Linked DNA regions of Oryctolagus cuniculus. The protein of the gene in region 4 purifies or fractionates together with the protein of the main gene of each other region. This does not show direct contact. Links are inferred from orthologs where the notes say so. Each region holds a gene or a part of one and is shown on either strand. Other genes may lie near its edges.

Region 1 (4,210 bases), on a different chromosome or scaffold from region 4:
TTTTATTTATATTCAGAATATTCCAAAGGATTTCGTTTACTGGAATCAGACAACATGAGCTATTTTTGTAGCACTTAACTCTGGATTTCTATAGGTAAATTCTGGTTCCTTGATCCTTTTTAATACTTGAGTATACTAGAACATATATGCTATGTGTGCTTAAAACTTTTTTCCAAGGTTATATAACAAAAACCCCTAAGAGGTAATGAAACTTAGAGATTAGCAATTAAAAAATAGGAAAAATATCATGGGGCCTGCGCTGTGGCTTAGCGGGTAAAGCCGCCGCCTGCAGTGCTGACATCCCATATGGGCGCCAGTTTAAGATCCGGCTGCTCCATTTCCAATCCAGCTCTCTGCTGTGGCCTGGGAAAAGAGTACAAGAATACAAGTCCTTGGGCCCCTGCACCCATGTGGGAGACCTGGAAGAAGCTCCTGGCTCCTGCCTTCGTATCGGCCCAGCTCCGGACGTTGCGACCATCTGGGGAGTGAACCAGGGGATGGAAGACCTCTCTTTCTCTCTCTTCCTCTCTCTGTGTAACTGTGACTTTAAAGTAAAGTAACTACAAACTAATATACTAGCCCATTATATATATATATACACACACACACACACACACACTCACACACACTAATATACTACAAACTAATATACTAGCCATTTTAATATTTCTAGAACAAAGTTTTATATGCGTTGTTTTTTATACTTTATGTACAACCAAGGACAGAAATATTCTATTGTCATGATTTTAAGCTTATAGTTACATAATATTGTTTTGGGTAATTAATCGGTACTTATGTTTTTCAATGTTGATAGGGCTGCAAGAGGCAGAACTAAAATTTAACTAAGCATCTACTACGTACCAAACGTTTTCTCATTCTAATCTCATAACTGTAGTATCATAAAGGTATTATCACTCTATTTCAGATTAGAAAACACAGTCCTGTAGAAACAAGATACCTTGCCTAAGGTCAAAATAGCTAAGAAAAATGGCATAGCTGGGATTGTAACTGAAGTCTGGAAAACATCCTTTTTCCACTAAACTGCATGTGCTAAGTTGTTCTTCCAGGAGTGCCAACAGAAAACATCCATCTCTTGCTAGGGAGCAGCATGCACTATTTCTTCGTGAGACCTGGTTCAGACAGGGACAAGCAACCTCTGGCCGGAACTCAAAACACAGCCCACAAACGCTCAATCTGTACTATGGCTTTATCCATAGTGGAGTTCTAGCTAGATGAGCTAGTAACTCCGTTCCAATGTAAAGAGGGTGGAGTCGACAAAAGTAAATCAGCAAATAATTATCCAAATGCCATTTACACTTGGTTCTGAAACACACTGCACGCCTATGAGCTAGCAGGCTTCTCTTCGTAATTGCGTTTTGCTTAAGACTACTCTCCCAACAGCTTTCCAGGAGCACACACCGAGTACACAATAGAGGCTGCCTGCTCGACGCTTCGACTGACGACGAGGACCACGAGAGGCGGGAAGGTAGCCGCATCTCCCCAAAGGCAGCGCTGCCCTTCCACTGCGTACACACGGCTCCCCTCAACTCCAACACAATCCACCTCGAGAGCCCAAGCCAAGCGGGCGGCCGAGTTCAGGAGCATGACAGCTCCAGGAACTTCCTCTTCCTCCCCGACCTCCCGGCTTGGCTTGGCTCGGCTCGGCTCGGCTGGGCTCGGCTCGGCTCGGCCCGGCGCGAACACGCCTTTCCCCTAGGAGGCAGGAGACGACAATTTCAAATGCACAACGCCGAGCCAAGCCACCACCACCACAGGCCAGCAAAGCCCGGTTCCCGGTGTTCCCCCGCCCCTCCCAGCGAATCGACCTCGTGGAAGCAAAAAAAAAAATTACATCTCACCAACCAGAAAGTATTTGCAACACAAAACGCAAATGTTTTCTCAGTCCCTCCACGCAGCCCGAAGGGAAGTGGTCCCGACAGCGCGTCTTCTCCCCGATGGACTGCTCCGAACCACTTTCCCTGGGGTCCCCGCGCCCGTGGAACGCCAAAATAAGCCTTCGCCTCTCCTCGGGGGACGCGGAGGCGGCCGGGGCGACGGCAGTCGGCGCGTCCCGCCTCCGACTCTCACCTGCCCAGGCCCGAGGCACCCCCGTGCGCCCGCGCGGGCTCCGCGTCCCGGGAGGCGTCCGGGCGGGCGGGCGCCGAGGCGGTTAGGCCGCGCTGCAGGCCGGCGCGCTTCCTGCCGCGGCCGCGGCCCCGGGAACCCAGACCCGCAGCTCGCCGGGCCGTGCCGCCTCGCGTGGGCCGCACTCGCTCACCTCCCTGCCCGGCGCGGCCCCCGCGGGGCAGCTCTCACCTGCGAGGCTCGGGAGCCTGGGCCACAAAGCGGGAGGGACACGCCACTCGGGGGTCCCGGCCGCGGGCGTGGACGCCCCCCGACACTCCACACACACACCCGGAGCCTTCGCCCGCCTCCGACCAGCGCGGGTCACCCCGCCGCCCCCTCCGGTCACTCGACACACACACACACACACACCCACTCGCGGGCCGTCAGGCCGCCCGCCAAAGTCCCAACTCGCACACCCACACGCGTATTTGTCCCTCTCCCACCTCATGTCCCCGGGGACGCGCTAGTCCTCCCCAACGCTCGCGATCGGTCCGACTCGGAGGCACACACACACACTCTACCTCATTCTCTGCCTCCGGCCCACAAGGAGCAACAGCAGCCATTTCCCCGCGGCAGGGGAAACACCACACACACTCACACAGACACACACGCCCGCGAGCGCGAGCGAGCGAGCGCGCGCGCGCGCGCGCGGGCCCCCACAGATGCTTCCCCTCCGGAGCCGCGGCCGCAGACGCAAACACAAACACCCACGCCCGCCCGCCCGCCCCGAGGGGAAGCCGCCGCGGCACGCCGGGGCCCGGGGCCCGAGGCTCGCGGGCGGCCGGGCGCGCCGGCCCCGGGGTCGCGGAGGGCCTGCCTGGTCCCGCACCCCTCCTCACCTGCATTCAGCGCGCCAGGGTCCGGGCGGCGGCGGCGGCGGCGGCGGCGAGGCGGCTGGCGCTGGGGCTGCGGCGGCGGGGGAGGCGGCGGCGGCGGTGGCGGCGGGGCTGAGGGCAGTAAAGACATGCAGGCAGCCCGCCGGGGGGAGAGGCACCGGCCAGAGGGGACGCAGGGCGGGCGGGCCGGGCCGGGCCGCCTGAGGAACGGCAGAGGCGGCGGCGCGGAGGGCGGCCGGAGGGAGCGAAACGGAGCCGGAGCGGGGAGGGGGACGAGGGCCGCGCCGCTGGGCTTCGAGGACGGTGGCCCTGGTCGCACTGGAGAGGCCCCGCGGCCGCGGCCGCTGACGCGAAGGCCTCCGCCGCCGGAGGAAGCTGCGCCCCCGCAGCTGCCGAAGCCGCGGCTATAGCTCCGAGAGCCTCACAGAGCCCGGCCTTGGCCTTGGCCTCCTGGTGCTGGGGCTGCTGCCGCCGCTGCGGGGGTTGCTGCTGCGCCTGGTGCTGCCGGGGCCTTGGCTGAACAGAGACGCCAGCTTTCGGTGCCTTCGTTCTCGCTCACACACGTTCACAACCCCCCGAGAGCCGGGGGAGAGACGTCCGGGCAATATCGGTATTGAGATTAATAACAAGGTGCAGAGAGTGCGAGAAGGAGGAGGGTTGATTGACGTGGAGGGGCTGGCGGGAGTCAGTCACTCCCCGGCGCTGAGGGGTGGGGTGAGGGGGAGGAGGCGGAGCGGCCGCGGGGCGGAGCTCCAGGCGCGCGCCTCGGGCCCGCCCCTCGCGCGCCGCGGTCGCCGGTCGTGCGCGTGCGCGTGCGCGCGCGGCGGCGGCCTGGGGGCTGGCCGTTTTCTGCTTGACCCTTGTCGTTTTCTTACTCAGTCCTCTCTGTGGACGCGGGGAGGAAGGCTGAGAAGGCTGGGTGGGGTATCAGGCCAGCGTTTACTAAGTCGTGCGGCAGGAGACGGAAGAACGCGCCTCGCTGCGCGCTCGCCTCAGGCGGCCCGAGAGCCGCCGAGCGCCGGTCTCGGCTGCTAAGGAGACGCCGGCTGCGGCGAAGTGAGCGAAGCAAGGGTTTCCTGACAACTCCGGTTTTTTGTTTTTGGTTTCACGTGTAACTCCTGTAAGTTGTGTCGTGAAAGGTAAATAAAAGAATGCGTGGAGATAGCTCCGTCCTAGTTTCGCATCCTCCCTTCTCGCGGTAGAATTACGCTCCTGGGGCAGTTTATTTGTGCCAGCTACAGAATGAA
Region 2 (3,581 bases), on a different chromosome or scaffold from region 4:
GCAATTCAGACTGGCGTTCTGGAAAAGGGTACAGGAGGAAACTTGTAAAACCGAGGGCACCAAGAGGCAATAGAAAAGACAGACTAACCGGAGGAAGCTGTCTGCAACACACCAAGATAAAAGGCCAAAGGGCCAGACTCTGTGTATGCATAATATATTCTTAAACTGCTACAAATCAACTTGGAAAAAAACAGGAAAAGTTAGACTAATGAACAGGCATTTTACAAGGAAGCTTAAGTGACTAATAAACAGTTGAAGCTATTTAATCCCATAGGAACCTAGGGGAATTCAGTTAAAGCACAGGATAACACACACTCACCAGGACTGACCAGTTAATGAGGGTGTTATTATCAAGTGCAGAGGACATAGGGTCACACACACTGCTCCTGGGGATGAAAAAAGGCATGGCGACTTTGGAGGACAGTGTGACATTACCTGCTGCTATGATGTGGATTTGGTTTATCCCCCAAGGGTCCCCAAAAGTTAGAAGGTGTTATCAGCTGGGTCCCCAGGGCCTAGCAGGAGATCCTTGGGTCACTGGAGATTTGCCTTCAGAGGGGATCTGGATCCCCGGGACCCTTGAGTTCTCAGGAGAGGGTTACTGTAAAAGGGGCAAGCCTGGCACACACGCCACACCTTCACCAGACCCTGTGCCACATAAGCTTTCAAAACCATGAGGTAAATACACTTCTCTTTCTAAGGAACAGGTGTGAGGTATTTTGTTAACGTAGCAAAAAGCTGAGTAACACACCTAGTGAAGTGTGACACGTGCCTATCTTTCCAAGAGGAAACACAGGAGTCTTGGCAATGCTCGCAGCTTAAACAACCGATATCCTACTGCACGAACATACCAACAGCAGTGACAGGCAGCCACGGCAGAGACTCGGCGCCACCCTGCACTCCGAGCTCAACACTCAACAGGAGGAGAGGCCCAGTGAGGAAACCTGTACCCAGTGCATGAAGTAGGCAGGGGCGGGGGGGAAGGCGGGAAGGCCGGCAAGCAAACGGAGACAGCGTATCATGGACGGACGTCAGGCTAGTGATGGGGGGTGAGGGGGCAGCAGGCAGCAGCCTCCATTCCCTAACCTGGGCTGGCCGCTGCTGTGGTTTACCGCGTGACAAGCCCTCCAAGCAGCTGTGGTCTGGATTGTGTCATTTTAAACAAAGAAGGCTCAATCCTCATTAAGGAGCTACAAAAGTCCATGAAAGACCATAAGGCAAATGGAGGAAAAAGCCCAGAGACATAGAAAGAACCCTCAGAACACACATCAGCTAAGAGGGGGAGCTGCCTAATGCTGCCTATCCCCTCGGCACCAGCCAGTTTTCATACTATCTCTGGTTAAGGAAACCACCATTTGCTTTCTAGTAGATCATATCTGGCACTAGAGGCTAACGAGTATTTTTGTGTTCCTTTGGCCTTCAAAGTCTTTAAGATTTTATTTATTTGACAGGTAGAGTTACAGACAGTGAGAGGGAGAGAGAGAGAAAGGTCTTCCTTCCATTGGTTCTCTCCCCAAATGGCCACCATAGCCGGCGCTGCACGGATCCGAACCCAGGAGCCAGGAGCTTCTTCCGCATCTCCTACAAGAATGCAGGGGCCCAAGCACTTGGGCCATCCTCCACTGCCTTCCCAGGCCACAGCAGAGAGCTGGACTAGAAGAGGAGCAACTGGGACTAGAACCCAGCACCCATATGGGATGCCAGCGCTGCAGGCAGAGGATTAACCAAGTGAGCCACGGCACTGGCCCCAGCCTTCAAAGTCTTAAGAAGATTTCTCTTGCTTTCAGAAAATAACCATTGGTATACTGATATACTCCAGTTAAAAAGTGCTGTTCAGACTGTTCCAAAGAGAAGTAAGTTACTACAACACGTGGCCTTGTATTAGAAGCCCAGTGTGTGCTATATGGGGTCTGAGGATAGGGCACTGTCAACATTACTCTGCAGCTCACTCACAATATCAAGGGTTTGCAAATCTAGTGACATGTTACAGTTGCCCAAGTGAGAAGCTGGTGCTGTGGCACAGCGGCCAAAGCTGCAACACCAACATCCCATATGGGCACCGGTTCTAGTCCCGGCTGCTCCTCCACTTCCGACCCAGCTCCCTGCTAATGGCCTGGGAAAGCAGTAGAAGATGGCCCAAGTCCTTGGGCTCCTGCACCCACCCAGCGGAAGCTCCTGGTTCCTGACTTCAGATCAGCTCAGCTCCAGCCATTGTGATCATGTGGAGAGTGAACTAGTGAACTAGTGGGTGGAAGACCTCTCTTTCTTTGCCTCTCTATAACTGCCTTTCAAATAAATAAATAAATCTTTAAAAGTAATAACTGCCCTAGTAAATCCCTCTTGCGTGACAAGAGCTGTGTTGTAGAGTAGGCAAGCAAAGATCCTCTGATTTCTCAGAACTCAGACAGCCTGACCCTGAACAGAAGCTACAGCAGGTCTTATTATTATTTTCTGTCATCACCCACTGTCTGCTTCAGAACCCTCATTCATTTGTTTATGTGTAGCACAGAATATTCCAAAACAACCCTGAAAAAGAAGAACAAAATTGGAAGTGTTAACACTTCCTGATTTCAAAAATTAGTACAAAGCTGCACTAATCAAAACAGTGTGGTACTGGCAAAAAAGACACACAAGTACAAACCAAGAGAACACACTAGAAAGCCCAGAAATAAACCCTGGCAAACAGGAGAGAAGGACTTTCGACAAGGATGCCAAGAAAACAGTTTTGGCTCCTTAGGGTCTCTTGAAATTCCTTTGGATTTTTGTTACTTCTGCATAAAATGTTGCTGGGATTTTGACTGGAATGGCCCTGAATCTGTAGATTGTTTTGGGTAGTACTGACACCTTAACAAGTGAGTCTTCAATCACAGGATTATTTTTAATAGAAACTAAACGTTAGCCAGCATTCCTCTACAACGGGAAAAGCAGTCATTTCAAGTGAAAACTCAAAATGTTCTCAGAGGCCCCATTAGCATCAAAACAGGACGTGCCCTCAGGAGCCTGTGCTGAAACGACATTTTTTATGGAAGTAGAGACGCAAAGCTAAGAGGACCAGCACTACCACCCCCGGAGGCCCACGGCTCACCCGCCAAGGCTAGCTGAAGTCCGCTGATGTCCACAGACTGGCCCATGTTTCCGACGTCCATCAGCGCGATCTGGCGAGGGGTCTTTTTGAAGAGTTCCCTGGGCGGTGCCAGCATCAGCTGGGAAAGAAAGAACTTTTCCGGTGGAGTTATAGGAGGTAAAAACCCTGGAAACAGAAACGCACAACAATTTCTCCAGTGGCTAATTTTAAACATTAACCTGAATCTGGTAAAACTAGCATTTGCTATGTGCTACCTCAACCCCCATATTTTTAAAGACTAAATTACAAGTAAGTTTCAATTAGCCAAATAAATACATTGATGACCGGTGTAACTAAATTTGGCATTTGAAAATTCTATGATCTGCGGCACCATCAGCCAAACTAAAGGTTTTAGTAACTATTAAGAACTTCACTTTGGGGCCAGCGTTGTGGCACAGTTGGTAAAGTCACCACCTGCAACACTGGTCTCTCATATGGACGCTGGTTCAAGTCCCAT
Region 3 (3,581 bases), on a different chromosome or scaffold from region 4:
ATGGTAAGTTTATTTTGGTGCAAAAAATTTTGAAACCCATGCATAGTTTTTTCAAAATATGCACATTTTGGGGCAGGCGTTGTGCTGTAGTGGGTTAGGCCACCACCTGCAATGCTGGGATCCCATATGAGTGCTAATTCGAGTCCCAGCTGCTGCACTTCTGATCCAGCTCCCTGCTAATGTTCCTAGGAAAGCAGCAGAAGATGGCCCAAGTGTTTGGATTCCTGCACCCACGTGAGAGACCTGACTCCTGGCTTTGGCCTGCCCAGCCCTGGCCATTGTAGGCATCTGTGGAGTGAAACAGCAGATGGAAGATCTCTCTCCTTCTCTCTAACTCTTTCATTCATATATCTTAAAGAAAAAAAATGTGCATTTTCCATGAACTTTTTGAAGTCCTCTCTCTTCTGTTTTCTCACTAAATCATATCCTTTCACCAGGCAAAAATTTAGATACCATTTTTTTCCTAACAGAAATAAACTCTCTTGGTTCTTCCAAGGAAAAATGTTTAGCATTTTTTTCCTTAGATGAAAAAAGACAGAGTAAGATTAATTATTATACAATTAGAATTTTAGGTAATTAAAAAAAAGAAAAATACAGGGAAAAAAGCCAGAAGTCATAAATACTTTATAAAAATATATATATAATGCTTCACTAAAATTACCAAATCTGTTAATATGTGTAAAGTAAAATCATTCTTATTGACAAGTGTATAAAATGAGAAAATCAGAAGGAAATTTATCAAATTAGCTTATTCCCATCAACTGTGGTTATGGTTGTACCCTGTCATTTAATTCAAGAAATAGCTTACCAGTCCTATCATTGTTTTGTTTTTAAAATAGAAAACATCATCAACATTAGCATAAACAAAAATAAGTAAAATTGTTACATGTAACTGAACATACAAAAGCATACCCCTCAGAACACTAATTATTTAAAAAATATTATGCTATCTGAACTGAAAAACAGTACCTGGAAAATAAATTCATGCTGACTGAGTAGAATAATAAACTACACTCACCTTATCCCTAATGTGAATGTTCGTTAAGTACTCAGATGGAACATGGAAGTCTGGATAATAAAATGAAAAAAGCCTTATTAACTGATTCTCAGTTGTAAATATCTTTTTAAAAGATCTCAACACAAATAGATTCTCCTACCTATGTCTTGAGGTCGACAAGGTGAAGATGCCCAAGGTGACGCAAATTTGGGGTAGAGATTTCTGAAAAAGGGGGAAAAAAACCAATTTGAAGTCCAAAGTAGAAAAAAATATATCTAATTTTATTTCAGAAAAATCAGGAGAAACAAAGACTTAAAATATAAAATGAGCCTCTTTACTTCTAATTCCTTTTCTTGGGTTTAGTATGAGTTAAACAGCAGGAAACCAAAACAAATATGTATGTGAAAAATACAATAGGACTACTTCCCTCAACAGTCATACAGCATTAGTAACACCATGTATTAACAAATAAAAATGTTCTGCTTTTAACTGTTTCAATTCAAAATGCTTTGAATTCATCATGCCCCTAAGTTAAACTACTTTTCCATTTATGTGGCCAGGGAATAAAATGTCAGTATGAAAAGCAGTTTCAAAATCACCATTTACGGAGTGCCTATTATACGTCTGGCACTGTTCTAGGTGCTTGAGATGGATCAATGAACAAATAATTATCACTAACAACATGAAACTTTCTGATTGAAGATGGCAGACTGGAGGGAGGCAGACAATTGGCATAATAGATCAATATATAATTGCCCGTGTTAGGGGAGGGTTTGGGAGAAGAGACTGGCTGCATATTTAAAGTAGTGTGGTCAGGTAAGGTATCACTGAGGAAGTCAGATCTTAACAAAACTTGAAGGAAAAGGAGGAGATAATCATATTAATTACCGAGCAAAAAACTGCTCTTGTCAGAGGATACTGCTACACCAACTGAGGCAGGGCATGGTTGCCATACACAGAAGGAAAAGGGAAGCTGTGACACAGTGAACGAAGGGAAAAGTTGCTGAGGAAGGATGATGGGAAAGACGATCACTAGGAAGACCTTGTAGGCAAGGCTTTGGATATTTAATCCTAATGAAACTACAAACTCTTACTGAGTACTGAACAAAGGAGCAACTTATTCAAAAAGGTTTGTCCTGGCTGCTATATGAAGAGGAGATTGCTTGGGAAGGAGAAAGGGATAATCAAAGATAGTTGTTGAGTGACTAACAGAGTACCCAGGCTACAAAGAATAATGATTCAAACCAGGGTGGTAGCAGTATAAAATAGTAAGATACACTCAGATTCTGTATATATCCATATATATATCAATTAAAAATACAAGACTTCCGCAAATGACTACCAAGGGAGCAAATGTAGAGCTCTAACCAAAAAGGGTCAAGAAGAAAAGGAAGAATCAGCAAAGGAAATAAAGAAGGGTCAACCAGTGAGGTCAGGTAAGAATGGTGTCCTCAAATTAAAATGAGAATGTGTATTAAGGAGGAAGAGTTCCTAGAAGAGATCACTGAACTTAACAACAAGGGGGTCATTTCATAAGCTGAATGAGGCTAATATCAGTGGAGTGGCAGAGGCAAAACCATGATTGAATGAGTTCAACAGAAAAATTTTTTTAAAGATTATTTGTTTATTTAAAAGGTAGAGCTAGACAGAGAACTTCTACCCACTGGTTTACTCCACAAATGGCCGCAAGAGCTGGAGCTGGGCCAGTCTGAAGCCAGGAGCCCTGAGGTTCTTCCATGTCTCTCACTTGGGTGCAGGGGCCCAAGGACTTGGGCTATCTTCTGGTGCTTTCCCAAGCACAGCAACAGGGAGCTGGATTGAAAATGGAGTAGCCGGGACTCAAATGGGCATCCATATAGGATGCTGGCACCACAGGCAGTGGCCTTACCAGCTACACCAATAGTGTCAGATTATTCTTTTGTGTTTTGCTTCAAAGGAGAATAAAGAAATGGACATGTGATTCAAGGAGACAGATCAAGAGACAATTTTTCTTCTGAAAAGAGAAGTAACAGTGTATCTGTATGCTGCTGGAAATGATACCATCTAAGAGTGGAAAACTGTTAAGTTTTCATAAGAGGTTATAAATAGCATGGATTGACTATGGTAACAGAGAACAAGAAAACAATAAGGTAGATGTAGATGGCAGCAGGTACTAAGATTTGGTGGCAAGACTATGCTGATGTTGTCTTCTGATTATTTCCACCTCTCTTAGTGAAACAGAAATAAAAAGCAAGTATAGGACAGAGGGAAAGTTACAAGTTCTTATATTAAGTGTCTGTGAAAGTGTAAAACTGCTATATATATGAGAGCGAAAAAGTGAATAGACTAGGTATCCTTGGTATGATGCTGTCTGGCAGAATTAAAGGTCTATTTTTGAGGTCCTGGTCACAAAACATGAAAAGGAATCAGACAGTGAGCCTGTGCACTTTCCCCTAGTTGGGTTCATCAGAACAGAACAGGAATGGAGGCCACGGCTCAATAGGCTAATCCTCCACCTAGCGGCACCGGCACACCGGGTTCTAGTCCCGGTCAGGCGCCAGATTCTGTCCCGGTTGCCCCTCTTCCAGGCCAGCTCTCTACTGTG
Region 4 (3,581 bases):
TGACTCCTCTGCAGTCTGTTTACCCCAGTGCCCTTAGAGGTGAGCTCCCCTGGGAGCTGAGCCAGGACACAGTAGGTCCTCAGAAACATACCGCCGGGTTGCATTCAGACAAGCTGGACCGGTCACTTCCCATTCCTATGCATTTGCTCATCGGTTCCCTCTGTCTGCAATGCCTCCAACTGCCCCAGGACCCACAGCCAACGGCTGTCCTACCTCAAGGCTGAGGGCAGGTGCTTTCCTGAGACCCTCCCAAGCCACCCTCCCTCCCCCTCACACCCACCCTCAGGAAGTAAACTCCTCCCTCTCTGGAGAGGCCCAGCCCTTATCTATGCCTACCCTGGTGACTCCTAAACTTCCCCCTTCACCCAAGCTAGTTATGAGCATGGCTCAAGTCCACTACTACTCCTGAGGTTCCTGGACCAGAACACACTGTGTTCTCCTTCCATCCCACTTAGCACACAGCACAGGGTCCACCAGGGCCCGAAGGGATCTCCTGAGGCCCTCACTGGAGAGCAGAATGGAGAGGCATGGGAAATGGGTGATGAGTAGAAGGATGGGTAGCAGAAAGGCTGGATGCAAGGTGGTCAGCTGGTCCAGGGGCTGCACGTGTCTGCTGAATGATCCGATGATACCTTCAGGGCTGACGGGCTCAGGCCAGGAAAGAGGTTGACTTTCAGCCCCTTGGTGCCCAAGGACATCCGTGTCCGGCGGCTCTGAGGCTCCTCCACGACCTCCTCGTCTGAAGATGGCACCCGAGCAGCTCGTGGCTCTGCACAGGCCCGGGAGGGAGGAGGTGAGTGCAGGCAGCATCGCTAGATGTCCACCCTCACCTCCCACCCTGCCAACCCGGGCCCAGTTAACCCCAACATCAACGGAAACACCACCAAAGAAGACATTGCCCCTACCCGTGGAGTCCTGGAACAGCCGTGCATCCGACTCTGCCGCCTCCGACAGGCCCAGGGTACCCCCTGGCCGGATGGCTGGGGCTCGGTGGCCACGCTTGCGTCCTAGGTTGGCACGGCTCCGGTACATGGCACTGTCAAGGACCTCAGTATCCTGCTTAGGACAATGGTGACACCCTGCCATCCCTGCGCCATGGCCTTGCCCCACCCACAGGAGCGCCCCCAACAGCTGCAGGTGGAGCTTCCTTTTCCCAGGACCCCACCACCACCACCAGCCTTCTTCCCAGGCTGAGGCTCCTCTGGGAAACTCCATCAACGGGGCTTTGGCGCCATCCGCCACGCCCCTGCACCGCCAGCAGCCCACCCGCAGCCCACCCGCAGCCCTGGGCTCACCCTCCACTGACCTCAATAAAGGAGAAGTCCTGGCTGGGAGTGCTGGGGGGAGGCCCTTGCGGAGGGCGCCAAGGGCTCAGGGCTGGCCCCTGCTCGCCCTGCCTGGCCCCTGCCGGGCCCCAGCTGCCATCCACCTCTTCCACCCGGCTGGCTTCACCATCAGGCTGGGGTCTCCAGGCGGGCAAAGGCTCCCCTTGGTCAGCACTCGCTGCGGCTCCTTCATCCTCCAACAGGTCCCTGTGGCCCGAAGCAGTTGACTCCCTACGGGCCCCAGCCTTGGAGCTGCCAGATGCCAGCATGTCCTCCAGCAGGTCCTGGGAGCCGGAGGGCGGGGAACGGGCCAGGCACCCACTGGGGCTGCAAGGGGGATGGACAGAGAACAAGGTCACCCATGAGGCCCACCTCCCCAGCCTCCTGAGCCCACTTCACAGGAGTCATCTGCTCCTGCCCCAGCCTCTCCCTCCCTCTCCTGCCCAGACTCCTGTGGCAAGGACAGGGTCAGGGCCTTGAGCAGCACAGCACACGGGGGGAAGGAGGGCTGGGCCGGCCTGGGGGGTTCAAAGTCCCAGTCTGCCACATACTAGAGATGGAGCTTGCCTTATCTGAATGCTTGGGACCAGAAGTGCTCCGTATTCCAGGTTTTTCCCAGATTTTGTAATATCTGCATACACGTGAGATACTCTGGGGACAGGACCCAAGTCTAAACAGGAAACTTGGGGCCGGTGTTGCAGCCTAGCATGGGTTAAGCCACCGCCTGTGACACCGGCATCCTACTTGGGTGCTGGTTTGAGACCCGGATGTTCTACTTCTAATCCAGCTCCCTGCTGGTGCACCTGGGAAAGCAGCAGAGAATGTCCAAATGCTTGGGTCTCTGCACCTGCATGGGAGACCCAGAGGAAGCTCTGGATTCCTGGCTTTTGGTCTGGCACAGCCCCAGCCATTGCAGCCATTTGGGGAGTGAGTCAGAGGATGGAAGAGCGCTCGCTCTCTCTCGCTCTCTCTCTCTCTGTAACTCTGCCTTTCAAATAAATAAATCTTAAAAAAAAAAAAAATACACACCCACACACACACAAAGTTCATTTGTATTTATGTACACCTTACACACATAGACTGGACACAATGTTATATAAAACATTTAGTGCACCTACATTCCATGCTATCAAAGTGCTCCCTCCCAGGGGTATCTGCTGGGGCTGTAACGCTCCTTGGGATGGGCCAGGTGCTGGCCTGCCTGCCTGCCTGTTCAACTCTGGTCATCTTCAGCCCCATGCCCCCGCCATGCCACAGCCCTTTGCTCCCAATGTCTCAGAGCCACCTGGAAGGGCAGCACACTCCCGGCCCACACTGAGTGCTGTCTGAACAAGCTGCCCTCGCCTGGCAAGCTTTCCCCACATACCCAGATATCCTCTCACTGGTTCTCCCCTCATTTCAAGTTCAGGTCCTGCCTCCATGCCCCCAGCCTGCCCTGCCCCCGGCCACTGTGGGCCTTCTCAGCCTTACAGCATGGGCTCCGCCTGTGCCAGCGCCTACTTCTGCCACTCTGTCACCACGGCCTGTCTGGGAACTCCTCAAGGGCAAAGTCAGGGCCTTTTTCTCCTTTTTGCCTCTATGCCCCCAGCACCTGGCCCTGTGCCTGGCCAGGAGCCGGACCAAGCAAATGTTTGCAGAGTGAAAGAGACACTGGGTCACCTTGGACCTGGACGCAGCTCAGGCATCTTCTGCCTGCTGCTCCTGCAAAGCAAAGCACGGCACAGACACACTCTCATCGGCACCTGCTTGATGTCCAGCTGCCACTCCCGAAACCATGAACGTGCTGCACCCACACCTCTGGCAGGGAGGGGGCGTGCTGGCACCCACGGCTCCGCAAAGAGCCACGCCCGACACACTCACACCGCGCACTCAAGTGTGGGAAAGGCTGGCAGGGCAGTGCCCGGAAGCCAGGACGCCGAATTCCCAGCGGGATTGGCGGGGGAGGAGAGTGAGGCAGGTGAGTCAATGTGGAACAGGAAGAGGGGGCAGGGAGAGGGAGAACGTGTCAGTCTGTCCTTCCACAAGCTGCTGACAGTTGGAATTAAAGCAGGCGGGGGTGGGGGGCGGGAGGGAGGGAGGGAGGCAGCAGCGCAGCAAGGCAGCGGCAGGGACAGCGGCCCTGGCTGGGGGCCAAAGCCAACCCACCCTGACGGGCAGCTTAAAGTCAGGGAGGCTTGGGAAGGGCGAGGGCACTCCACCCCGGCCTAAAGCGGCCAGGCCCAGAGGCTCTCCCTGGGGTGGGGCGAGGAGGCCGAG

What was found.
Region 1: the proteins of TNKS1BP1 (region 4) and CNOT6L purify together in Homo sapiens (affinity purification with mass spectrometry; 4 studies listed by BioGRID and IntAct, with this or other methods). This does not show direct contact. The link is inferred for Oryctolagus cuniculus from reciprocal best matches to the Homo sapiens genes TNKS1BP1 and CNOT6L.
Region 2: the proteins of TNKS1BP1 (region 4) and CNOT11 purify together in Homo sapiens (affinity purification with mass spectrometry; 5 studies listed by BioGRID and IntAct, counting the BioPlex papers as one, with this or other methods). This does not show direct contact. The link is inferred for Oryctolagus cuniculus from reciprocal best matches to the Homo sapiens genes TNKS1BP1 and CNOT11.
Region 3: the proteins of TNKS1BP1 (region 4) and CNOT2 purify together in Homo sapiens (affinity purification with mass spectrometry; 5 studies listed by BioGRID and IntAct, with this or other methods). This does not show direct contact. The link is inferred for Oryctolagus cuniculus from reciprocal best matches to the Homo sapiens genes TNKS1BP1 and CNOT2.

Annotation. Positions count from the first base shown.
Region 1 is NC_091439.1:88,150,308-88,154,517, reverse strand, and holds the start of CNOT6L (CCR4-NOT transcription complex subunit 6-like), read right to left. Parts: upstream 2,821-4,210; 5' UTR 2,654-2,820; coding exon of another isoform or gene 2,649-2,653; 5' UTR 2,576-2,648; coding exon 2,571-2,575; exon of another isoform or gene 2,317-2,570; intron 1-2,316. UniProt on the Homo sapiens protein: Has 3'-5' poly(A) exoribonuclease activity for synthetic poly(A) RNA substrate.
Region 2 is NC_091433.1:107,379,272-107,382,852, forward strand, and holds part of CNOT11 (CCR4-NOT transcription complex subunit 11), read right to left. Parts: intron 3,251-3,581; coding exon 3,086-3,250; intron 19-3,085; coding exon 1-18. UniProt on the Homo sapiens protein: Component of the CCR4-NOT complex which is one of the major cellular mRNA deadenylases and is linked to various cellular processes including bulk mRNA degradation, miRNA-mediated repression, translational repression during translational initiation and general transcription regulation.
Region 3 is NC_091442.1:72,885,162-72,888,742, reverse strand, and holds part of CNOT2 (CCR4-NOT transcription complex subunit 2), read right to left. Parts: intron 1,220-3,581; coding exon 1,158-1,219; intron 1,069-1,157; coding exon 1,019-1,068; intron 1-1,018. UniProt on the Homo sapiens protein: Component of the CCR4-NOT complex which is one of the major cellular mRNA deadenylases and is linked to various cellular processes including bulk mRNA degradation, miRNA-mediated repression, translational repression during translational initiation and general transcription regulation.
Region 4 is NC_091432.1:14,815,946-14,819,526, reverse strand, and holds part of TNKS1BP1 (182 kDa tankyrase-1-binding protein), read right to left. Parts: intron 1,653-3,581; coding exon 1,307-1,652; intron 1,057-1,306; coding exon 906-1,056; intron 770-905; coding exon 633-769; intron 1-632.